Pelodiscus sinensis: one gene and its partners. The protein of the gene in region 1 interacts with the protein of each later gene in a pairwise test. Links are inferred from orthologs where the notes say so. Each region holds a gene or a part of one and is shown on either strand. Other genes may lie near its edges.

What was found. The genes of interacting proteins can lie anywhere in the genome.
Region 2: the proteins of TXLNA (region 1) and STMN2 interact in binary tests that used the Homo sapiens proteins (3 or more experiments, as listed by UniProt). The two-hybrid records come from large-scale screens. The link is inferred for Pelodiscus sinensis from reciprocal best matches to the Homo sapiens genes TXLNA and STMN2.
Region 3: the proteins of TXLNA (region 1) and WASHC3 interact in binary tests that used the Homo sapiens proteins (3 or more experiments, as listed by UniProt). The two-hybrid records come from large-scale screens. The link is inferred for Pelodiscus sinensis from reciprocal best matches to the Homo sapiens genes TXLNA and WASHC3.

Annotation. Positions count from the first base shown.
Region 1 is NC_134735.1:3,556,263-3,564,606, forward strand, and holds the start of TXLNA (alpha-taxilin), read left to right. Parts: upstream 1-4,781; 5' UTR 4,782-4,941; intron 4,942-7,496; 5' UTR 7,497-7,524; coding exon 7,525-7,744; intron 7,745-8,344. UniProt on the Homo sapiens protein: May be involved in intracellular vesicle traffic and potentially in calcium-dependent exocytosis in neuroendocrine cells.
Region 2 is NC_134712.1:49,858,049-49,866,218, forward strand, and holds the start of STMN2 (stathmin-2), read right to left. Parts: upstream 3,491-8,170; 5' UTR 3,340-3,490; coding exon 3,321-3,339; intron 1-3,320. UniProt on the Homo sapiens protein: Regulator of microtubule stability. When phosphorylated by MAPK8, stabilizes microtubules and consequently controls neurite length in cortical neurons.
Region 3 is NC_134711.1:99,545,222-99,553,411, forward strand, and holds the start of WASHC3 (WASH complex subunit 3), read left to right. Parts: upstream 1-4,700; 5' UTR 4,701-4,848; coding exon 4,849-5,103; intron 5,104-8,190. UniProt on the Homo sapiens protein: Acts as a component of the WASH core complex that functions as a nucleation-promoting factor (NPF) at the surface of endosomes, where it recruits and activates the Arp2/3 complex to induce actin polymerization, playing a key role in the fission of tubules that serve as transport intermediates during endosome sorting.

The sequences.
Region 1 (8,344 bases):
CATCCTTTTACTGGGTGGAGCTTGGGCTTCTTCAGTTGACCTAGAGCAAATAAGCTGTCTGTATCATGTGAACTTGATTTTTGAGACGTAGACATCCTCTTTCCATTTTAAGGTTTAAGTCTGTACTTGATGTTTTACACAATACACACCTGTACTCAAACATGCAGCAGCTGTCTGACACAGAAGTAGTGTGGTGACTTTGAAAAGATCCCTAAAGTAGGTAGAGCTCCATCTGAATCCTACTTTCCTTCATTAGAGGTGCAGATCTAGTTCTGTAGTAAACCTGGATTCCTGCTTGCCATTTCACTGTGTAATACATGGGAGGATAAATGAAAGGTACACTCTTTAATTTTTTTTACCAGCACAGGTCTATGCAAACTCCAAAACTAAATGAAATATGTCTTAAATATAAGATCTGGCCTTCTGGGACTAGTGTAATGAGAAGGGATATGTGTAGCTAGAGGTCTGACTAGTGAACTGGATAAAAGACTATTAGAGTGAATAGTATTTTGTAAATTTTCCTCATCTTCTCTGGATCCCTCCTTGGAACAATCCAGGAACCTTAAGAACTTAAGGGGTTTTTAAAGGAAACTTATAGGCCTTAGGACTGGCAATTAAAAGGCTTATTCTGCTGCAGTAACTGTTTTAAGCACTAACTCATATGAAACAAACCTTTGGTGTGGAACTGGTACTATGTCCTTAACACCCCACCGCTTTAATCAGTTCATGGTTGGGTTGTTATGCAGCCACTAGTGAGCATGGCACAAATGGGAGGAACAGTATACAGCTGTTTATCCAGTTCAAATCTGGGAACAGGAGTTCAGGCTATAGTCCCATCAACAGCCAAGAGTGATTCAACCTACTTTAAAAAAAGAAACCCAAACATTTCTTTCATAAAAGCTGAACAATCCTGGCTATTTCTCCAATGTGTGGCCCTTTGGAGGTACATTATAGCTGTACCTGGGTTGGTAGGCCTTGTGAGGATACACACTTGCTTTTAGTGTGATGTGTACAGATAAAAGATATCTATACACATTGACTTGAAAATGTATCTAAGTTGCCAACACTGTAATAGATACAAGATGCAAAATAAAAAGTCTGTTCCAAAGCTGACCTAGGTGCTCAAATCTGTCTGGATTATTTTTAGTGTCAATTGGGTGATCCTAGCAGCAGCATTGAAATATACCAGCAGGGTGCTCACATATGAACAGAACATCCCAGTGCTAAAGCATGTACACCGGCAGCCCTGCATGGACGCAATTTATATCCACATTGCAAAAATGAGCTGCAGATATTTGCAAGGTTCTAGATACAAAACTTGTTTTCATATTGTGCTACAGCCATGAATGTGAATAGCTGTGGTTATACAGTGGATATCCATGGATTTGCTGGGCTCTTACACCCAATATATTGGTAAATATAATAAATTGGTAAACTGGTTTGGAAACATGAATAAGGAAAAGTTATTCCTACAATAGAAGAACTAGGGGGCATCAAATTAATAGGTTTAAAACAAATGGAAGTTTTTCCTTCTCTCACCGTACAGTCAACGTGTGGAACTACTTGCCAGAGGATGCGGTGATGACCAGGACTTTAACAGTGTCCCAAAAAGATACATTCATGGAGGTTAGGTCCATCAATGGCTATTAGCCAGGATGGGTAAGAATATCCCCTAGCCTCTGTTTCTCTAGAGGTAGGTGACAGGAGAGAGATCACCTGTTGTGATTCCTCCCTCTGGGGCAGATGGTATTGGCCACTGTCAGCAGACACACTATTCTGTTCATAAATGCATAGCTAAATGCTAGGAAAACTCTCCAAAAGCTTTGATGGTGGATTGCTTGGAAATGTGTAAATTCAACATGGGGGAAAGACCACTTTGCTGGGCAAGCACAATTTGAACTGTGCCAGCCCAGGCCTCATCTACTGCTATATGGGATCATTCTATTATGCCCATTTCACTCTTTCCTCCAGAGGAGAAAAATGTACTAATCGAAGCGGTCTTCAAATTCTACGTTGTCCTTTTCACTCAGCTGGGACTGCAGATGCAGCTAAAGGTCTAAGCGCTCCTAGCTGTAAATCAGTGGTAGCAGGGCTAGTTTGAGGTTAAATGCTACTTTAACTAGCCTGTCTCCCATACTATTGTGTATGGCAGGTAGGCAGCACTGTGGAAAGGGAGAAAGAAGGTCCCTGTCAATATACCTACATTTTAAACTACTTAATTCATTCTCAGGGAGATTTAATTAGAACAGCACAATGCATATACTGTACTGTTGACCATACTGGAGACTACCCAGACCAGCAGTAATTAATCCATGAGTTAGCTGTAATTTGCTAAGTGCTGGGACTGCAGTTTTCTTTGAGCCCAGTAGAACTTCAGTAATGAACAGACAAATCAACCATATACTAGAGATGTGAATGTGTACCCAAGTACACAGTTAGGGCCAGGCTCATCAGTTAACTCTGCTGCCTACACACAGCTCCCCCTGCATGTTAACATGTAACCACTGAAAGTTACAGCAGTTACATATTTACACAAATGCATTTTAACATACCTACCATACACATCATTTGGAATTGGAAAGATACAATCAGGCAGCAGGGAGAGGAAGCAAATACATGTATTAAATGAACTACCAAAAAAAGTTTTAAAAAACATTGACAAGGAAACTACTTTCATTGAAAGACAGTCAAAATATTTTTCTTCTGGAAAGTGCAGTTTCAAAGCTGTATTAAGTTCAGTTGTAAACCTTTAAAAACAACCCTGTTTTGTTCAGACTTATGAACCTCCATTCCTGAGCTATTTGTAACTGTGAGTTTCTACTGTAGGGTATGATACACAACTTCCTCCAGACAAAATGTGACCCTCTATTATCCTCTTGTTTACTTTTGCTTGAGTAAGCAGTATGGTGCAGCCAGACCTGTTCCTTTGGTTTGTGGGGATCCAAGTGTGCAATTCAGCCTACTACTATTGCAGACTCAACCTGTAAAAGGTGAGGAATATGATTTCCACCATAACTAATGGTATAGTTCCCCATTTGTAGGAAAGGTGCAGCTATTCCCTAAACACCTTAACAGCCACTTGAGTAATTCAAACTTACTTTGTGAAGTAGCTAAGGCTATAAAAGGCCAAAGGAGTACGTCTGGGCTGTTTCCACTAGGCCAGTTTCTTGACTTGAGCCCTGGCCTTCTCTTGCTCCAGACTCAGACTGCCCCTCTAGTGGCTGTGCAGCTTAGGGAACTTGAATCTATATTGGGGTGTAGGTAAATTCTAAGGTGACAGGCTAGCCCCTGCTATCCTCCACCTACCTTGGACTAGCCCTCTTACTTGTGAAAAATGTCAACAAAAGAAAGCTACCACTGCTGCTCCCTAAAGTGGGTGGGGGTAGAGACTATGGTTCAAAGTCATGGCAATAGTTAGGCTAATGCATGTAGCTGTTGCTCCTCTCAGCTTTCTTTTCACCATCCCCAACCCTGGCTAGTGCCTCCCTGGCAGGAATGTAAAATCCCATTTAATCTGTTAACCAATTAAATGTTTGGTTAAACCAGTTAAGTGACTGAGTTGGATCCTGGGTGAGGGCCCACTTCAGCTGGGCTGGAGCAGCCCGTGGGGCTGCCAACTCTGCTGGCCTAGCCCATGACACAGTGGGCCTATGAGCCTGGAACAGCTGCCCACCTGCGAGCGGGAGGCTGCTCCTGGACACTGGTTAACTGTTAGCCAGTGGGCTTCAGCCTTATCGCGTATTGCCTATTTGGTAACCAGTTACCTGTTCACACCCTTACACTCTGCCCCTCTCCTCACAGCTCCCCCTGGAGATAGTAGCTCCCACCCCCGGGGCTAGTGCCTCCCTGGCCCCCCTCCTAACAGCTTCCCCCTCTCCCCCCCCCCCGGGCTAGTGCCTCCCTGGCCCCCCTCCTCACAGCTTCCCCCTCCCCCCTGGCTATTGCCTCCCTGCCCCCCTCTCCTCACAGCTCCCCCCCTGGGGCTAGTGCCTCCCTGGGCCCCCCTCCTCACAGCTTCCCCCTCCCCCCTGGCTATTGCCTCCCTGCCCCCCTCTCCTCACAGCTCTCCCCCCCCCCAGGGCTAGTGCCTCCCTGGCCCCCCTTACCCCCGGGCTAGTGCCTCCCTGCTCCCCTCACAGCTTCCGCCCCCCGCCAGGCTAGTGCCTCCCTGCCCCCCCCCCTCAAACCCTCCCCCCAGGGCTAGTGCCTCCCTGGCCCCCCTCCCCCCGGGCTAGTGCCTCCCTGCCCCCCTCTCCTCACAGCTTCCCCCCCCCCTGCCGGGCTAGTGCCTCCCTGCCCCCCCCTCAAACTCCCCCCCCGGGCTAGTGCCTCCCTGGCCCCCTCACAGCTTCCCCCCCCCCTGCCAGGCTAGTGCCTCCCTGCCCCCCTCTCCTCACAGCTTCCCCCCCCCTGCCGGGCTAGTGCCTCCCTGCCCCCCCCTCAAACTCCCCCCCCCCGGGCTAGTGCCTCCCTGCCCCCCTCTCCTCACAGCTTCCCCCCCCCCCCCTGCCGGGCTAGTGCCTCCCTGGCCCCCTCCTCACAGCTTCCCCCCCCCCGCGTTGCCCTTCTCGCGTTGCACGCCGGGAGCTGGATTGTCGCCCCCTGGCGCGTTGCACGCTGGGCCCTGTAGTCGCCCGGGCTGCCCGCCTCGACCGCCGCCGCTCAGCGGTATTTCCCGGCAGGCCCCGCGCCGCCCCGCTCGCGGATTGGTTGGCGGAGCCGGCGGATGACGGCGCATGCGCACTCTGTACCCGCTCAGCGGCCCGGGCTGGAGGCTGCTGCCGCTGGGCCCTTCGCAGAGCTCGGCGCTGAGGAGGAGCCGCGGGGAGCGGGGACCGCATGCAGGGGAGCTCGCCCCTCTGCCGGAGTGCGGCCGGCGGGCGCTACGGATTGGCGGAGGCGAGAGAGCCACGTCAAGCTTCTCGGCGGTGACGTCACGCGGTACGTGAGTGACGTCACTGCAGTGGGGGGAGGGGCATAGGGGTGTGAATGGGGGAGGTGGAGGGGCAGGAGGGAGCGGGACGGGGTGTGAATTGGGGCAGGGCAGCATAGGGGTGTGAATGGGGCCGGGGAGGGAGCAGCATAGGGGTGTGAATGGGGCCGGGGAGGGAGCAGCATAGGGGTGTGACTTGGGGCAGAGGCAGCACAGGGTGTGAATTGGGGAAGGGCAGCATAGGGGTGTGAATGGGGCCGGGGAGGGAGCAGCATAGGGGTGTGAATTGGGGCAGAGGCAGCATAGGGGTGTGAATTGGGGCAGGGGGAGAAGGGAGCGGCATGGGGTGTGAATTGGGGCAGGGGAGCAACATGGGTGTGAACGAGGCTGGGAGGGCAGGGGATGTATGAATGTGAATGAGGCAGTTGGGGGTGTGACTGGGTAGTGTCAGATGGTATTGTACGGCTGGGTGCTGTGGGAGTGCAGGTGAGGGCAGGGAAATGTGGGGAATCATGGGTACCTAGCAGCTTAGGAGATAGATAGGGACAATCGTGCACAGCTCTGTGGGGACTGGCACTTGCAGAGGATGCAGAGGCAGTGGAGCCTGTGGAGTTGGGTGGAGCACAAGAGCACACATTGGGCAGTGTAGGGATGTGTACAATTCATGGGATGCCACAGGGAGATGGAGCATTCATAGGGATGAGCTGACAAAGGGGCTGTACGCAATGTGGGAAATCAGTGCTGCTAAGCCTGTATGTGAGAGAGAGGTACATATTAGGGGTGTAAATTCTAGATTAATCAGTTAACTGATTAAATGGTAGGTTAACCTAATGTTTAACCGGTTATCTGACTAAGCAGGATCCTGGGCTAGGGGCTGCCAGATGCAGGGGAGGCCACAGGTTACGGGGGGAGGGGGCTGCTCCCAGGTAACTGGTTACCCACTCACATTCCTAGTACATTTTGGTGTCTGTGTAAGAATAGTTGACATGCTTGCCTTGGCCCCCGTTACTTTTAACTTCCGTCCCTGGCTTCATAAAGCTGATTGTGCCCTGAGTTGCTCTCTGAGAAGAAGCATAGACTTAATTGTGTGTAGCTATGCTCAAATTTGGGACAAAATGTTTCTTTCATCAAATAATTCTGTGGGGGATCCAGATTGTCCTGGGACAGCTACGCTGCCTTTGTTTCATAATTGTGAGTGTCTCTGAAATGGGATAGAAATGTAGCCGTGTTAGTCTGGTGTAGCTGAAACAAAATACAGGACTATATAGCACTTTAAAGACTAACAAGATGGTTTATTAGATGATGAGCTTTCGTGGGCCAGACCCACGTCCTCAGATCAAATAGTGGAAGAAAATAGTCACAACCATATATACCAAAGGATACAATCAAAAAAATGAACCCATATGAAAAGGACAAATCACATTTCAGAACAGAGGGGGGATGCGGGGGGGGGGGGGGGGAAAGGAAGGTAAATGCCTGTGAGTTAATGATTTGTCCTTTTCATATGGGTTCATTTTTTTTAAATTGTATCCTTTGGTATATATGGTTGTGACTATTTTCTTCCACTATTTGATCTGAGGAAGTGGGTCTGGCCCACGAACGCTCATCATCTAATAAACCATCTTGTTAGTCTTTAAAGTGCTACATAGTCCTGTATTTTGTTTCTGAAATGGGAGACTGCAGAGTTGCTGCAGCATTTGCTTTTCCTGTTATCTGAGTGGTGAATGAGGGATATGGGTAAAATAATGAAAGAGAGTATATTTCTGGAAGGGTGTGAAATGGAAAGAAGCTGGAATTTGGCCTGTGTGTGTCAGTTCTGTTTCATGGAGATAATTGGTAAATCTTTTTGTTGCTGACTACCAGCTCTTCCTAGAAACTACATGCTTTCCCTCTTAGCCTGGTGTTTTAAGAGAAGCTGGCCCTTCTCCTATCTTGAGGATCCTGAGTCAAGATTTTGGCTTCTGTCCATCCCTCCCAGGCTAGGAGAGTCTGTGTGCTTAGTAAAAGCAATGCATTCAACACTAGAGAGGGAAGTTCTCGTGTCAGTCTGCAGGGGCCCTTCTAGGCTAATGCTGGACTCCATTTCCTGGTGTTTTATGGAATGAAATGTTCTGAGAGCAAAGCATTAAGTGAAGGGTGGAGTGGTGGGTCCATCAGAAGACTGTAATCTACAGAATACAGAGGTGACAGAGCCATTTACTCTATGTGGGTTTGGGAGTTACTGGCTTGGCTCCAAAGGAAGCTGTCTCTAGCCACCCTGGAGGAACAGCTATCCTGACATGGAGCCCTTTATGGTGAGGGGGATAGCTTACAGATGTGGGAGGAAGGGTGCGTTTACTTTCCAACAACAGAATGGAGTTAACAAAGCTTCTATTGAGTACGAGGCAGCATCTGAGTCTTACGACTAGCCGTGGATGGAGAGGCTCAATGAAGAACCTTGTTCTCTCAGTTGTGAATGTTTCAATCCCTGTTGATTTCACCTAGCAATGAGTATGTTGTAGGATGCTGACTTCTGCTAAAATCCTGTTACAACTAAACCCAGGTGACGTTTCTCTTTCACCAGGGTTTGAGACGGAGTGGGAAGAAGAGACATGATGAAGGACCAAGGTGGGGAAGACAAAGCTGCCCTGCTGCCTGCTGGTCTTCCCAAAATGAACAGCAATCTGGTGCTAGACGAAGGCGACTTAGCTGAGGCTGCAGCACCCCCTGAAGCTGGGGAACCCCCAAGCCAGTCCAGGACTTGCAGCTCTGAGCCATCTGCTGATGGCAATGCTGAGAGCCTGACTAGTGAGGTGCAGGATAAAGATGAGGGTATGTTTCAGCGTTGAGCTTGAAGGGCCATGCCTGCAGAGAGGCTGTGGCTTTCTCTCTAGGGTGGCTGTTGTAACTAATTTCCATTCGCTCAAGTGTGGGAGGCCTGTGGCTTTAGGAGCAGATTGCTGGGTTTTAGGTGCATGCAAGGCCTTGTGTGCACCGTCTCGGAGTAATACCCATGTGTACGGGATGGCGGGTACAAAGATGTGAACATGCCCCCACCACTGTTTCTCAGTTGGTTGTATTGAATGACTTACTGTTCACCCTAGGGATGTAAGAGAGTAGTCGAATACTTGACTACTTGATAAGCCCAGGCTTTCTCGACTGTTCTACTTGCATTCTCCCCATGCCCAAAGACCAGGGACAAGCCAGCTGCTCTGGGGGTGGCTCAATCACAGCTCCATTCTCTGCCTGTCCCACACGCTGGGCTGTTCCGGGAGCCTCGCTCACGCACAGCAGGTGGGGAAGCGGCCAGTGCTGCCCGGCACTGGACCAGGAGCCAAGGACCGAAGCCCAGGCAGGCAGAGTGCAGTGGCCAGGCAAGCTTGGCACTCCCAGGCTGGCCTCAGGGAGATGCAGGCTCGCTGCATTGGCTGG
Region 2 (8,170 bases), on another chromosome or scaffold:
TACGCACTAGGTGAGTAAATGACCTTTTAGGGCCTCAGATTAAGAAGGGCCTCTAAATAACACTCTCTAGTTTTTAGTTGCATTCTCACTTATATGCTGGTAGATATGCAAATATAACACTTAATTTTTCTATTTTCTGCCAATGCTATAGGGCTTCTTAAACTCAACATAGTTTAGAGCCTCAGCATGTCTTAATCTGGCCTTGCCATTGGACAAAATTCTGGCACATGCCACCTGAGGTCTGTTGTACATATGCTCAGAAAATTTAGGACAAAATTAAAAGAAACGGCAATCCTATGTGAAGTCAGACTGTAGTAAATCTAGTGCATATGTGGAATAAATAACTACAATCTAATTGGCCAATAATAAACACATACGGGGGGCTTATATCCTGAATTTTTCACTTTGTGAAAATTCCTGTTGGACTCTACATGAAATTTTGATTGAGTAAGGAGTTCAGAATTAGGTCCTGGGTTACTTTAATGTTGCAGAATATTGTGCCTGTGCTTAACTTTAAGATCATGGTTAGTTCCATTGGAGTAGATAGGACTATTCACATGCTTAAAGTTTGGTATGGGATTCAGTACCTTGCTGGCCTGGGGCCATAAGCATTGTGAGGAGTTTGATCCAGCACATATTAAGTGGATGGGAGTTTTGCTGTTGACTCAGGTGTTGACATGATCTGGCCCTTATTTAGTGCTTTGTAGTAAGGAAAGGAATTAAAAAAGGAATTAATTACAGAAGAAAAGGGATAAAAACATAGTGAATCCTCAATGGACAGGTGCGTAAAAGCTTCATGCTCTGGTCCAGAACCAATGTGGCTTATTTATCAGCAACTGGGAATTTGCAAGTCTGGTTTTTTTTTCCAGATAGAACCAAGCTTACTTGCTAAAGAAAACACATTCCTTTTGCATTACTTTTCTATGGAAGCAACCCCTTGGCATAGACTAAAAGGCCCTGTTATATTTTAAATAGTTTCAAAAGTCAAATTTCTATAAAAAGTAAAGTCTAGAGACATGGACAATAAAACCATAACTCTTTTGAAAGTTTATAGAGAGAAGCTATTAAATACCTAATCAAACAGTTAAAAAAATTCTTCAATTTCAATGCAACCGATATTTTAAGGGAGTTTTATATATAGAGAGAGAGCTGTATTTCTTTGGGAGAACAACTAAGAGGCTCACTAATCAGGAGCTAATTAATAGGCTGGGAAGATTTAGTCAGTCTCTGGGTGAATCTAATGATTTCAACCACCTCCCCTGCTGCAGAAACCTTTATATTTGAATAGGGCCAAGGCCATTAATCACAGACTGAAGAGCCCTTCCTTCTATGGCAACAGAATTCCTAACAGTGCCTTCTGCAGTGATCAGTCTCCAACTGACTACAAATTATCAATACTGATTACCAGCTTGCTGCAACGGGGAGGGGACGGCGGGCTCAGCACTGCAGGGCTGGCTAGACTCCCACTGCCCTTGTCTGTCTGTTTGCATACAGAGCTGTCCCAGGCCTTTTCCCTAGACGTGACAACGCCAGATTAGACTGCCTTTACCCGCCCACCCCGTGCTGATTTCGCAGATCAAGCGAAGAGCACTGGTGGTTTTAAACGCAGACTTCGTGTCTGGCGCGTTCACCTTCTCTTTGGACAAGTGATGGAGAACGGAAACGGGCGTTTTGCCCCAGCGGTTCAGGAGTGAGTCCAGGGGCTTGCTTTCCAGCGGCCAGGTAAAGGCGTTTAAACCTTTGCTTTGCTTATAGGCTGGGTGGCTGCTGTTTGGCAGGGAAGCATTTTGCAACTCTGGTTTCTCAAGCATCCTCCACAGGTCTCCCCTCCCCCCGCCCTTTTCCAAAGGGCGCAGGAAGGAATTTGGTGAGACGGAGTCTGGAGAGCCTCGCAAAGAACAGGCTGGGAGCTGATGCCTTCCGCTCCTTTCTGCACCCGCTGGTCCCACCCATTTTCTCCACAAAGCCGCTCACCGCCAGCAGCGAAACAAAAGGGGGTGGGGGCGAATGTCCTGCGCGTGCCTCTTAATGTTAGCCCCCGGGCCGTGGTGATTTCCCCAGGCGGTGCACGACAGGGGAGCAGCTAAGAAACCTGGATGCTCCCCATAGTCTGGCGCTGCAGTCCTGGCTCCGAGCCTCTGCAGTCATTGGCCATCTCGCCCCTCAGCTCCCGCGGGGAGTGGGCGAGTCGGCAGAGCAGCGCGCTAGTTGGGTGGGGCTGCTGAAGCCACAGCCCGTTTGCCTGGGCGCCAGTGGGACAAAGTAAAAACCGCACCCGCTGGAAGCGAGGCCACAGCACGGGACTGAGGATGAGCAGAGAAGCTGCGGTTACCTACAGAAAATACGGTAGTTGGGTACCTCAGTTGCCCAGCGCCCTACTTTCCCGGGGCAGCCAGGAGCGAGGTTCCAGGCTTGAGGTGGCTCTTTGACAAGCAGCTGGGGGGTTGCTCTCCTAGGGGTGGAGGCCCGCAGCCTCAGCCTTGCCATCCCCTCCCCCCTGCTGTTTCCTGTCTGAGGGGATGGGAAGGCTGCCTGTGCGCTGGGCCAGGCTCCCTGGGCGTGCCCGTGCGGAGACAGCAGCAGCAGCCGTATGGGTGGGGTCTGTCTGCCTGCATTGTGCTGGGCGGCTGGAGTCCGTGGCGCTGAGCGCTGCAGGTGCCCTCTCCCCAGGAACTCCGGGAGCAGCGGTGCGCAGTGTTACACAAAGAAACCCAATGTCACCCCCTCCTTAAAACAAAGGGCGGGCCCGTTCTCTGCGAGGCGACGGGGTTATTTATTGAATTAGCAAAAGAGAAAAGTCTCCCTCTGAAGCCTGGCGCCAGGGACAGGGAGGGGTCTTCCATTTTCAGCCACGAAACGCGTCAGTTTCACTTCGCAAGGGGTTAGCTTTGAAACAATATCACACACAAGAGAGAGCTGAAATGAAGAGAGAGCCCTAGCTGGAGACCTGGCGATAAGGGGGCTTTTAAAGTAGCGCCCACACACCATATTTCAGAATAGGCAAGGTCACTTTTTGGTGTGTCACTAACTCCCCACCCCACCCTTTTATCAAATCAAATAACTCCCTTTGAAATGAGTGTTCAGCTTACTTGCCCATATCACCCAAGAGCAACCAGCCACCAGATCTCAGGCGAAGACTTCAAAAAAGCCCCCGGCTCCCAGCCCGCTCCCAGTTTTTTTTTTAAATAAAAACACAAAACAAAAAGATGTAACATTGTCTTAGCCATTAAGGCCTCTTAAGGGAGCACCCAAGACCGCTGCTGGTCCTAGGAAATAGTGGCTGATGCATTGGCTGAAGAAAAAGAGATGCGATTTCTTACCCATTGCTGTTTTAGCCATGGTGGGATGGATGCAGATTCTCAGAGGCTGTGAAGGCAAAGGGGTCCAGCTACAGCAGTGGAGAGAGAGAAGACTGAATAAGGCACTGAGTCAGCAGCGTGGGGCTGTGCAAGAGAAGGAGCAAGAGGCAGGAGCCCATGAATAATTATCACTCCTCTACTCAAGCAGATTGGCTCCAGAGGTCCCCTGACATGACTCCTGCGGAGCTAGAATCTCCAAGCATTAAATATTGATCCACCAATGGTACTGGAGTACAAAGTGCCAGAATGGAGTTTGAAATGGAAATCAGTCCTTGAATGCCTCTCCCCCCTCTCTTTAGTTTTAATAGTACAGTCCATGTCAAATGTTTTATGTCTTACATGAAAAGCCTATTGGGGTTGAAAGCTCTCCTGTTGCTACCTGGAAAATACGCACAGATGCATTTTTTTAGCGCATTTTAACACCAATATGACAAAGGGAGAAATAATTCAGAAGTTTTCTGAGCCATTTCAGCATAACTGTAGTTTTCATTAGTCTGCCTCTGGCATTACTGTACATTGGCTATTGCAGCACACACAGATGCTTGTACAGCAAATTCTTGCATTTCAGTATTTTTTATTTTATTTTTCAGACTCATCTATCGATGATACATTCAGTGGTAAAGCCTAGAGGGTGACAGTGACCCTAATTAATATGTGCAAAGTGCTCCAGAAAATGCAAAGCAGTCTCAGTGTGACAATTATTATTTCATTACCACACTGGCCACCTCTCTGAGGCACCATCAAAACAACAATGGAAATTAACCTGACTTGCTTGGCAAAAGAGTGTGGAATATGAGTGACTACTCAAACATCACCCCAAAAAGGGTTGCCTGGGGCTTGAGGCATTATAAGGTATTTATCATCTTTGGGAGAGAAAGGTTTTCCTTCATTGTCTTTAGGGGAAGGGCAGTGATTTGGCTGGAAACAAATTAAGAGAAATCTGAAAGTCATCTGAAGCTCTGGGTTGAAATATGTTGGAACCCTAATATATGTTCTAGTTGGAAGCAAGCCTCTGCCCAGGAGTAAGCAGTGTACAGAGCATAGCATGGGATGGAGGGGTGAATAGGTTATCTTATCATCCTTTACTATTGCATTTATCTAATTACTACTGGACTTCCTCTTCCAGAGAATGTATCTTCAGTTTTGCCCAGAAAAAAAAGCTTAGAGATAAGTATTACAGCACAGATAGATGTAGGCATCTGGCGCATTTCTATTTAGGGGTAACAAAGGTGGGGAGGAAGAACCATTCTAAGGCGTCTGTCTGTCTGTTTCATATGTCCATTGCCACCATAGGCTTCCAGAGCGTGCTAGGCCAAGAGTACTTTTCTCCTTCCTCCAGCTGTACCATTCTCTCTCACATTTGCCACAGCTCAGTGATCCTTGTGATCCCAGCATCGCTTTCCAGTGCGGTTGGTTGTGCCAAGAAAGGCAGCCTCCCTTATGACAGCACGCTATGGCCACCTTTCTCCTTGTCCGTCTCCATCTGCAGGGTGGCTGGTTTGTGTTAACGAGAGCAGAGGGCTGGAAGGAGGCTGGGGAGGGGAAGCCACATGCACGCGGAGAAATGCAGCCTGTAGGGTGTGGGGTGCGTGTAACCGCATCAGGGTGCGCCTATTGCAGCGTCCAGGCTCTTTGAGGTGAGCTGCCAAGAGGGCTTTAGTCTGTTGCCCGCTGGAGCTGAGCTCGTGAGGTGGCTTGCTGGGGTGAGGTGAAGAGTTTAGTTCCCAGACTGCCCCACACAGGACTACTCAGCTACACAAATGGCAGGGAAATGGCCCCGGATTCCCACGCCCCTGTGAGTGGGTTACAAGGTCCAGTCCGTTGTGGGCGGAGGAGCAGGGGGGCGGTTTGGGGAGGAGGGGACAGCTGGCGGGTGTGTGAATGAAATGGGGGATGGTACTGGGGCAAGGAGAAGCTGGGATGGATGTACCAGGGGTTGCTGCTCCTGCGGGGCAACTGCGAGGCTGGAGCTAGGGAAGGCGCCGGGCTGACCTGGGGGAACCTCCCGAAGGGACCTAGCCAGACACTCCCACTGTAGCTAAACTCCCCAGACTAGGGTAAGTCTTCTCCTTTCATCTGGGCCACCAACCAGACGTTTCGGGAAGGAGCCGGGAGCTCTCCAGGGTGCTGAAACTTCTCTGGGCCTTGCGAGGACTGAGCGATAGCTCCTCGCATCCTCCCCTCCCCCATATTGCAGGCCCAGCTGGATCCAGGGCCGTTCCGATCCGCTGCAGCAGATGAGGCGGGGGAGGAGGCGAGATGCTCCGCAGATCAATGCACTTGCTTAGCTCTCCTGCAGACGGCCCCAGCCACGCCGGGGCTGAATGCGGAGCCTGGATCCATCGGGGTTTGTTTCTGCCCCTTGTCAAGTTTATAACAAGCAAGAGCGGGGCATCCCCAGCTCACAGGCTCATTGGGGTTAGCCTGCGCCCCCTCCCCCGCCAGGGCACCCCGCCGCTCTCAGCTGTCTGGCTGCATTGCCTGGAGGGAGCCTGCCCTCTGACTAGCCCCTCAACCTCCGGGCTCCCGCAGTGCTCCCGAAGCCAGCTCCGCTCCTGGGTTGGATCAGCTTTGTCCAGCCAGGAGGGGACCGTGGCTTTGGGAAAGGGGAGCCGCGCAGAGCAGGCGGGAGGTGCTTTTGCGTCTGTCGGGGGAACTGCAGGTTAATGGCTGCTCCGAGGCTTTGCTCGCCAAGCCCCCTGCCCAGCACAGCAGCGATCTGCCGAGTGCCGCTGGCTTGGCACCGCGCAGCTCGGCCGCTGCTTTTCATTCCAGGCGGCGACGGACACACCCGTCTGCTGCCCCCGGGTCACCCCACCCCAAAGCTCTCCCCCCGGAGGAACCCATGGTCCCTCCCAGAAGGGAGAGAGGGGCCCACGCAGTGTGATTTGCAAAGGAGGGTGAGAATGGTGCAGCTGATGAGTAGCTGAGGGCGGGGCTGCTGGTGTCTTTTTTTTCTCCGGCCACCATCAGCTGAGACATAGAGAGAGAAGAGCTCAGAGCCAGCCCCTGCCTCTCCCTCCCCCATCCGCAGGGATAGATGAGGAGCCAAATCGAGGAAGCTTTTGCTCTCAGCTGCCGTTCAGGCAGATCCCTCCCTCCTCCCCCTTTCTATTTCTGAGCCAATTCATGTTGCAGAAAAGCAGCCCCCTTCCTGTATTGTCAGGCCTGGGAAGAAAAGCTGTCTCTCCCCATAGGAGGAGGGAGGCACTGGGCACTAGAGCGATTTCTTTGCCGAGAAACGTGCCCAAGAAACTACATGAAAATCGATGCCACCTCCGGCACTTGACAAAACACTTATTGCTAGGGAGTAGGGATCAGACACTCCATATATCATTTCAGATCCACAGCCCTGGTCTGGTGAGTTCAAGGGGGCTTTTAGAAGCAAATGTGGTTTCCCAGAAAAGTCAAGCTTGATCTTCTCTTTCAGGGGAACTTTATTGCCAAAGGATGGGGATGACTGAAGCTCCTGTATGATGTTGTGGTATATGTGTGTTGTTGAACTCACAGCTGCAACCTGATTTATGAATACAGTCTGAATTGATTTATGAATGCCATCCTTAATTCCCTCCAAAGGGCTGGAGAAGCATGGGGTGAAGGAGGAACTCTGGTCCTGGCTCTTCTGTGACCTTGGCAAAGTCTTTGAACCTCTTTCTTCATTTTCCCTAGCTGTCAGCAGCAATAATAATTGTGCCTCTGGGTGGGACTGAGCAGATAAATGTTTATATAGCACTTTGAAGAATACCAGTTCTAGAGAAGTGCTAAAAATGGAAGAGATTTATATTAAGTCCTTTGCCTTGCCAGTGCTGGGAACAGCACAGGTCCCAGTACAGATCTTAAGGACCCTGGTGTTCTCCTCTGTCCATTGTGAAAATGGACGCTTCATTCCTACCCTTTGTTTTCTATCTTTTAATAACAGTGAGTTGTCCTGTGGCACCTTACAGACTAACAAAAATGTATAGTATCATGAGCTTTCATGAGCAAAACCCACTTCCTCAGATGAGCTGGAAGCATCTGATGAAGTGGGGTTTGCCCACAAAAGCTCATAATGCTATATCTAATCTATCTATCTATCTATCTATCTATCTATCTATCTATCTATCTATCTATCTATCTATCTATCTATCTATCTATCTATCTATTTGTTAGTTGCTAAAGTGCTACAGGACAACTAGTTGTTTTTAAAGTTACAGATTAACATGGCTACCCCCTCTGAGACTTTTTATCTTTTAATCAGTCACAAAAAAGTTCTACTGGATGGGATGAGTGTCTTCTATAGCAAATTGTGAGCTGAGAGGCCTTAGTGGGCCATCCACACATAGCTGTCTAACTCTAATTATATATCTATCTGGGGGGGGGGGGTGTCACCCTGGCATAAAACATATGTTTGAGATACAGATACATAGCTAATATTCATAATTCCAGTTAGAAAGATAATACATGGATTTAACCAGGATAACCACACGTAGTAGATTTTATCATGTGAGGTGGCAATGGAAAAGTTATGCTTTGTATGCAAGTTGTTGCAGTTGTGTAACAATGGGTCCACATCAGTGGGAGGCAGTGCTGACTCCCGCTATTGCTCATTAAAGGGGGAATTGCAATGTCACAGTCTATAACCAAGCAATTTATAAGGCCCAGCTCTGAGTCAGGGTGGGACAGAAAGACAAAGGTTTACCAGGGGTGGTTCAATAGCAGTTTAAAGCTCTGGCTGGGTCCTAGCCGGGCAGAGGTCAGGTCTCCTAGCTGGCAGAGAGCCAACAAGTGCAGGTGTTTTGCCCCCACAGGGGGAATCTGTCAGCTGAGGCGCA
Region 3 (8,190 bases), on another chromosome or scaffold:
ATATTAAGGAATCCAGCTGTTAACATTTGAATGAATCTGGCATTACAGCTTATACACATGATCACATAAATAATACCTTGTTAGAAGAATATTAAGTTTGCAGAAATAAAACACTCAAAAGTTCAGAATGCCAGAACTCAGATTGTGTGCAACCTCAGTGTGCCTCCCTTGTGAGTACATATTTTGTAACACTATTTATACAATCACATACTATTTTTTTCATGACATCCCTGCCATATTCAGTAAAAGGTAAGCTATTTGATATTTCTTTTTCTCCACATTCAATATGTGGACACAGGCCTTGTTACACACAGTCTACCCAAAGCCTGCCCTAACTAAAAAATTAATAATATGCTCTTAAACTGTGTTCTGGAGTTATTTGCTCAATAACTTTCCCCTGGACTTTTTTTTTGCTCAACAAAAAAATCCTTGGTGTTCCTCATAAAAAAAATTTTGTTCCTCAGTCTTAAAAAGTTTATGAAACACTGCTCTATAGTGTTCATCACTTTAGTTTCTGTTTCACGAATATTAACCAATATAGCTTCACAACCCCATTCTGAAGTAAGATGGTATTCTCCCTCTTATACAGCTAGGGATCTGGGAAGGTTGAAATTGCTACGTGTCCATTCCTTTTAAGTTCTCAAATTGAAATATCTAGGACATAGGTGACATGTAATGGAAATTGGGGAAGGTTAAGTTTCCCCAAATTTTGTATTCCTGCTAGGTTTGCAAACTTTCTAAATGCAAACCCTTGCCTTGTCCCTTGCCCCTTCTCTGAAATCCTGACTCTTCTCTGAGGCCCCACCTCTTACTTGTTCCATCCCCCTCCCTCCATCATTAATTCTCCCTCACCCACACTCACTCTCACCTGGCTGAGGCAGAGGGCTGAGTTGGGAGGGACGGCTCTGGGTGAGGATACAGGTGGGGGGTGGGGGGGAGAGAATGTGTGTGGCAGAAATGGAGGGTTCAGGATGCAGGAGCAAGCTCTGGGTTAGGGCAGGGGATTGAGGAATGGGAAGGGATGAAGTCTCCATCTAGGGGCGCAGGCTCTGGGGTAGGGGCCAGGAATGAGGGGTTTAAGGTGCAGATGAGGATGATAGCTCTGAAAGGGAGCTAGGATGTGGGAAGAAGTTTGGGGTGAGGCTCTGGCTGGGTGATACATACTTCAGGTGGTTCCCAGAAGTGCCAAAATGTTGTTCTGGATCCTAGGCAGAGGAGTGAGGAGGCACCACCCCCACAGCTCCCATTGGCCATGGTTCATTGTCAATAAGAGCTATGGAGCCAACGTTCAGGGGCAAAGGCAGTGCTGGACATGCTGGCTGTTTCCTGGAGATGCACTGAGCAAGGGCAGGCAGGGAGGCTGCCTCAGCACCACTGTGCTGCCAACTGTCCACATATCTATACAAATGACACCATTACAGGATCTAACCATGTAAGCCACAGCTTTGGGGGCTCATACACCTGCATATTAACTAATGTGATATATGCCAGCAATGACTCTGTCATGTATATTGGTCAAACCAGACAGTCTCTGCACCAACGGATAAATAGACACAAATCAGACATCAGGAATGGTAATACACATAAACCTGTAAGAAAACATTTTAACTTCTTTGGGTATTCAATAATGGATTTTAAAGTAGCCATCCTTATACAAAAGAATTTTATCACCTGATTACAGAGGGAGACTGCTGAACTGGAATTCATTTACAAGTTCAATGCTACCAACTTATGCTTCAATAAAGATCTTAACTGGTTAACACGCTACAAAGGCATTTTCCCCACTTTTGATATTTGCATCTACACATCAAATGCTGTGAATTAAACACATCCACCTTCACTTAATTAGTTTAGTTAACACTGGTCCTACAATTGACAGGTAACTTCTTTTGCTGTTATATATACCTCAAATTCTGTAATTTCATCTCCAATTTATCTGACCTAATAAATTCGTTAGTCTCTAAGGTGCCACAGGAATGCTCACTAGTCTGTAATTGTAAAAACAACACAGTTACCCCTCTGAGGCTACGTCTACACTGGCGCGTTCTCACGCAAAAACTCTTTTACGGAAGAGTTCTTGTGCAAAAACTCTTCCAGAAGAGAGAGTCTACACTGACGTGCTTTTGCACAAGAGATGTAAACGCTCTCTTGCGCAAGAAAGCTCTGATGGCCATTTTAGCCATCGGGCTTTCTTGCGCAAGAAATTCATGTTGCCTGTCTACACTGGCCTCTTGCGCAAGAACAGTTGTGCAAAAGGGCTTATTCCTGAGCGGGAGCATCAGAGTTCTGGTGCAAGAAGCCCTGATTTCATACATTAGAATGTCAGTTTACTTGTACAAGAACATGCGGCCAGTGTAGACAGGCAACAAGTTTTTACGCAAGAGTGGCCGCTTTTGTGCGAGATCGCGCCAGTGTAGACACAGACTGAGACTCATTACTTCCTTGTTCAAATACTGATGGTTTATGTTAGAGAGAGCATTTCATTGGGAGCTCATGTTCAGCTGGATGGAGTATCTAAATTCTTTACAAAGTCACTGCTTTTCAGGACTTACCTGAACCCTCTTTACTCTAGTTATGCAGAAGCTCTATGGGGAAAAATGAGTCAATTTTTTTCATATCCACCATTTTAAGCACCCAGCATTTAGAGGTGCTAAACCCTTGAGTATTCATAGTCACCTTTGAAAGATACATTAGATACATAACACAAAGGTAGCTCAATATATTTGATAAATATAGATACTGGGTGACTACTGTATATTTGAGAGTTTGTCTGTCTGTCTGTCTATTCATCTCTGTCTGTCTGTCTTCAAGAACTGCTCCTGAATGGTAAGAGATAAGACCACCAAATTCAGTATACAGCTTCCTCTTATCCTAACTTACAGCAAGGTAAGTGTTTGGATGTGCCTGGAATGAGATTGATTCTCATAAAACCATACAGAAAACAAACAATCACCAGACAGGTGAAAGGAGCTGACTGGGAGTGCACCCCGCTCCTCTGGGACTGCCCCAGCCCTGAGCCTCCCACTCCTCAGGGCATCCTTTGGAGGGGTGGCTAAAGCCTCCCCCTCTCCCCCCATGCATTCCTCCCCTACCCTCTGCAGGTAAATTTTTTAGCAGGCTGGCCAGCAGCCCAGCTCAGTCCTAGCTTGTGCCTAGTCCAGGACCTACCCTGCTGCAGCTTTGCATTAGATGTGTATTAGGAGCCAGGTGGGCAGGTAGCCTGGTTCAGTTCTAGTTCATGCCAGGTCCAGAAGCTCAGCCCCTCCCCTGGACAAAGCTGCTGCCACCCTGCGCTGCTGCTTCTGTATCAGAGGCAGTAGCACGGGGCAACAGGCAGCCGTTCCACAAGGGGAACTGGTTTTTTAAACTCTCTCCTTGTGGACCAGATCTCACCTGGCACCCCACGCTGCTGCCACTGATACAGAGGCAGCAGTATGGAGTGGCAGAGGGATCCTTGTGGGTGGGGAGGAGGCACATTAGCTTCCAGCCCCACACCCAGGGACTATAGAATAGTCGACTAACCGACAAGAATTCATGAGATTAATCGACTATTGAATTAACCAATATTTAACATCCCTAATGGGAACATTGCTGGCTGTTCCCCTTCATAAGGGAGTAAGGGGAAAGTACAATTTGCTGCATTCCTCCCTCTGGCTGGGGAGCACAGGGGGCAGATAAACCTAGTCCTGCCCCAGCCAGGAGACATGCAACCAGCCCCGGCTATATTTGTCAAATATATTGAGCTACCTCTTTGTGTTAGGTACTCCATGTATATTTAAAAATGACTATGAATGCTCCAGGACTTGGCACCTGTAAATGCTGAATGCATCCTGTTGAGGTGAGTGGGATTTAAACATGAGCCTAAAATTCACCATGTATGGAAGCACTTTGCTGAATAGGGATGGATCTCTGAACTGGGGCCTGTGCGCCTTTCCTCACTCCCCTTCACATAAAAAGCCTACTGTGTAGGTCCCTCCCTTGTAATTTCATGGCATTTGTGCAGCTGGAGTTATGGCTCATGGGGTTTTATTTATTTAACTCGTGCTCTTAAATGTGATGCTATGACTATTAAGAAGTTATTCAGTGGGAGCGTCAGAACAGCCTGGCAGGGCTGCGGAGCTGCGTCAGCAGTACACATTGTGGATTAATGCTGAAGAAATCCAGCGTGTCTCCTGGAATAGACAAGGGTTAAAAAATCCAAACCTGGAAGTGTGGCGCGCAACCTCTGGGGAGCGAGCGTGTGACCGCCCCGCAGGCAGTGGGCGCCGCAAGATGGCACTAAAGGGAAAAGCGTAGCAGGCACGTGGCGGGAGAGAACGCTGAAGCCCACTTTAAGAGTCAGAGCCAGCCGCTGCCCCTCCCGCCTACAATTCCCATGATGCAATGGGGGGGGGGATGAAGGGGGAAGGGCGTTTCCGCAGTCTCCGGTAGCGTGTGCGCAGGCGCCGGGACAATAGGCTAGTCTACCAGTCTCCGGACCTGCCCAGCCGAGCGGGTTTTGTATCCGGGGGGAGAGGTTAATCTCGGCTCGGAGTGCTGGCGGCTTCCGGGCGGGGCGGGCAGTGGTGACTTCGTTCCGCGTTTTCCCGCCGCGCCTCCCTGACTGGCCGCGGGGGATGGACGAGGACGGGCTGCCCCTCGTGGGCTCCGGCATCGACCTGACCAAGGTGCGGCCTCCCCACCCCCAGGCAGGGGGGGGGCCAGTCGCTCCCTCTTCCCCCCCCCCCCCAGGCGCGGGGGTTGGAAGAGACCCTGCCCCTGGGGCTGCTCCCCTCTGCCTCGCCTGTGGCCCCCGCGGGGTAGCCCCGCCCCCCAGCAGAGCGTTCCGGGGCTGTGTGACGCGGCTCGATGGCGGTTTCTCTTCTCTCGCTCCCCGCGGCGGGGGGGGGGGGGACAGTTGCGGCTCGATCCTCGCTTGTGAAGCCAGAGCCTGGGTCGGGGAGCTGCGCTGCGGTGTTTTGTGGCCGCGCAGCCGTCTCGCGCCCCTCGCCAGTGACGTCACGCTGGCCCCGAGCTCGTGTGTCTCCAGTTGGAAATCGCCGCCGCTGGCGCGTGGGCCGCTCATGGAACGCTGGGGCAAGTCGCCGGCGCGTGGTGGTGCAGGTGGGCCGCGGCCTCAGCGCTTCCCTCCTTCCCGGCCCTCTCCCTGGTGCTGCAGCCGCGCGCACCTTCCCTCCCCTGTGAGGTTGGAGTGACAGCGCTGGCTCCCTGCCGCGGGGAGGGTGGGAGAGGGGAGTGCCCTGAGCCGCCTAGGCTGGATCTGGCGCACATGGGTACGAAGTTGCTTTGTGCACTGCCACTCCCCCTCTCTCTTGCTGGGGGAATGGCAACATTGGAAATAGCTTGCCTGGAGGCTTTCCCTACTGCTCCCATTGGCCGGAATCCTGGCCAAAAATAGGAGTAGCGGGGGCAGTGCCTGAGAACAGTAGGAAGCATAGAGCCATGGAAGTGGCCCCGCCACCCCCTTCATTGCCCAGACTAGGGATGTTAAATATCAGTTAGTTGAATAACCTCATGAATTCTTCTTGCTTGGTCAACTATTCTATAGTCGCTGGGGCGGGACCAGAAGCTGTGCAGAGTGCCAGGCAGGACTATCCGTGAGGGGAGCCAGTTTAAAAACCAGTTCTGCTTGTGGACTGGCGGCTTGTAGCCCTGTGCTGCTGCCTCTGATAAAGAGACAAAAGTGCAGGGGGCGGTCTGAGCTCCCAGACCCAGCACGAACCAGAACTGAGTTGGGCTGCCTGTCTTCCTGGCTCCTACTACACTTTAAATGGAGAGCCACAGCAGTGGTCAGTCACAGACCCGGTGTGAGCCAGAACTGAGCTGGGCTGCTGGTCAACCTGCTAAAAGATTTACTGGTTGGGAGGGGAGGGAAATGCGTGTAGTCTATAGCGTTAACCTATAAGCTTTTGCTTATCAGTTAATTGACTACACTGTTACATTCTAGCCCAGACCCCTGCCCCTAGCCCAGGCCACTCCTGCCCCTCTCTCCTGCCCAGACCTCATACTTCCCACCCCCTTCTGCACCCATTTTGTATCATGGGTAGTTGGCTAGTGGTCCACAGAAAGGTTTGCATTGAGAGGGGTGGGCAGTGGGCCAAAAAGTTTGAGAACTACTGCTATAATGGCTGTCAGAGTGTTTGGGGAGCACAACTTCAAAGTGTCTTGTGTCATTGCTCTGAGCTCATTCCCAGCTAAAATCTGTGAGCTGAAGCAGTTCCTCCCAAGCTGGCAAAATCAGACCATTTCTGTTCTCTCTGCTCCTTTGCATTTGGTTTCCAGTGTACTTCTGTGTGATAGTTAGGTCTGTCCCTTGGGTATGGCAAGTTGAGACAACTACTCCTGCCCTTTGTGTGTGAATGTTGTGCAGTGCTCAGGCTTAATCTCTGGCAATAGCAGACATAGGCACCAACTCTGTGGGTGCTCTTAACCTAAGGCACTCAGAGGAAGAAAAAAAGTGTTGGGTGTTTGGCTAGTCCCTGTCAATGCCTCTTCTTCCTGCCCCCTACTGCCAGGCCCCTTGCAGCACCTACTGCCTGCCAGGAATCAGCTGTTTCAGGTTGTCAGGAGGTGCAAGGGAGAGGGGGCAAAACTGGTTAGGAAGAGGCAGGGTGGAGGTGGGGCACTGGGGAAGGAATGGAGTCAGGGCAAGACCTGGGCAGAGTCAGAAGGAGCATCCCTCTTCCCTCCCCTCCCCCCAGCAGATTAGAAATAGGCTGATTTTTTCCGGGCCCCCACACCCTACTAGGGACTGCCTTGGTGATATTTTAAAAACAAACAAAAAAAACCAACACTGTTTTTGTGAAAGGTAGTGACCATTAGTGATGTGCCTAAACAAACTTTCTAAACTTTAATTTTGTTATAAATAAATGAAAGTCCATTACAAACGTTCAGGCAATGCCTACACTGCCTTCTCTTGCGCAAGAGAATATGCAAATGAGCTGAAGTGGTGAATATTGCTGTGCCTCATTTGCATACTTAATGAGCTGCCATTTTGCGCATGGGGCTTTTGCACAAAAAGGAGATGTCTATACGGCTCCTTTTTGCACAAAAACCCCCTTGTGTGCAAGAGCCGTTCTTCCCAAAAAAAGCAGCAGACTGTCTCGTGCTCAAGAGGGGATTTTTGCACAAAAATGGTGGCTCATTAAGTATGCAAATGAGGTGTGGTGATATTCACCGCCTTTCCTCATTTGCATATTTTGCACAAGAGAGGGCAGTGTAGACATAGGCTAAGTGTCTTTTTAAGGGCAATTGAAGCCTAGCTTCTGAGTCACATACAGGTCAGGCATCTTATGTCACTACAGGTTGGACCTCCTTGGTCTGGCACCCTCAGGACCTGACTGGTTCAGGATGAGGGGTTTTGCTAGACATGGGGAGGTCATTTCACATCCCCCTGCCACTGACCCTCCCCCCAGCCCTGGCCTGGCCAGTGGTCTTAGCTGTCTCCATCGCTCCTCCCCAGACACACACACCTACTGCTGGCTTCCTGGTCCTGGCGGGTAGCCCTGCTGCCACCAGCCCTTTACCAGGACTCTGGTTTTGGAACATCCATTGTCCTGCCAGGATACAATGTTGCACTGTTTTAAGGCTCCCTATTTTAGGGCTCAAACCCATGTTTAGAGAGCATATGGGTGAGAAATCAATGGCCATTCCAAAAAAATCTGTGTTTAGTCAGAAGGGCTATAAAGTTGATACTACACAACCCCATTTAAAAGTTCAGAGTGTGTTTCTAATGTTTTATTTCTTGCTTGGTGTGAAACAGAACACTAAAATCAGTTATCTTTATGCCTCTTATTCCTCCTCCTATAATTAGTGGAACACGTCCCAGTCCAGTATTTATGGATTTCCCCATTCACAGTGATCTCAAGAATGTATCCCTTGGGAATGGAGCGGGCTTCCAGTAGTTCAAAAGCTTTTCTAATGTCTAACCTAACTCCCTTGCTCAAGATTAAGCCCATGTTTCTTTTTGTCTTGTCTTTTTGTTTTGTCAGCAATTCATGTTGCCTGTCTACACTGGCCTCTTCTGGAAGAGCTCTTGCGCTGGCCTCTTCTGGAAGAGCTCCGGAGAGGGAGCGTCAGAGTTCTTGTGCAAGAAGCCCTGATTTTCTACAGTACAACGTCAGTTTACTTCTGCAAGAATGCGCAGCCAGTGTAGACAGGCGGCATGTTTTTGTGCAACAGTGGCCATTT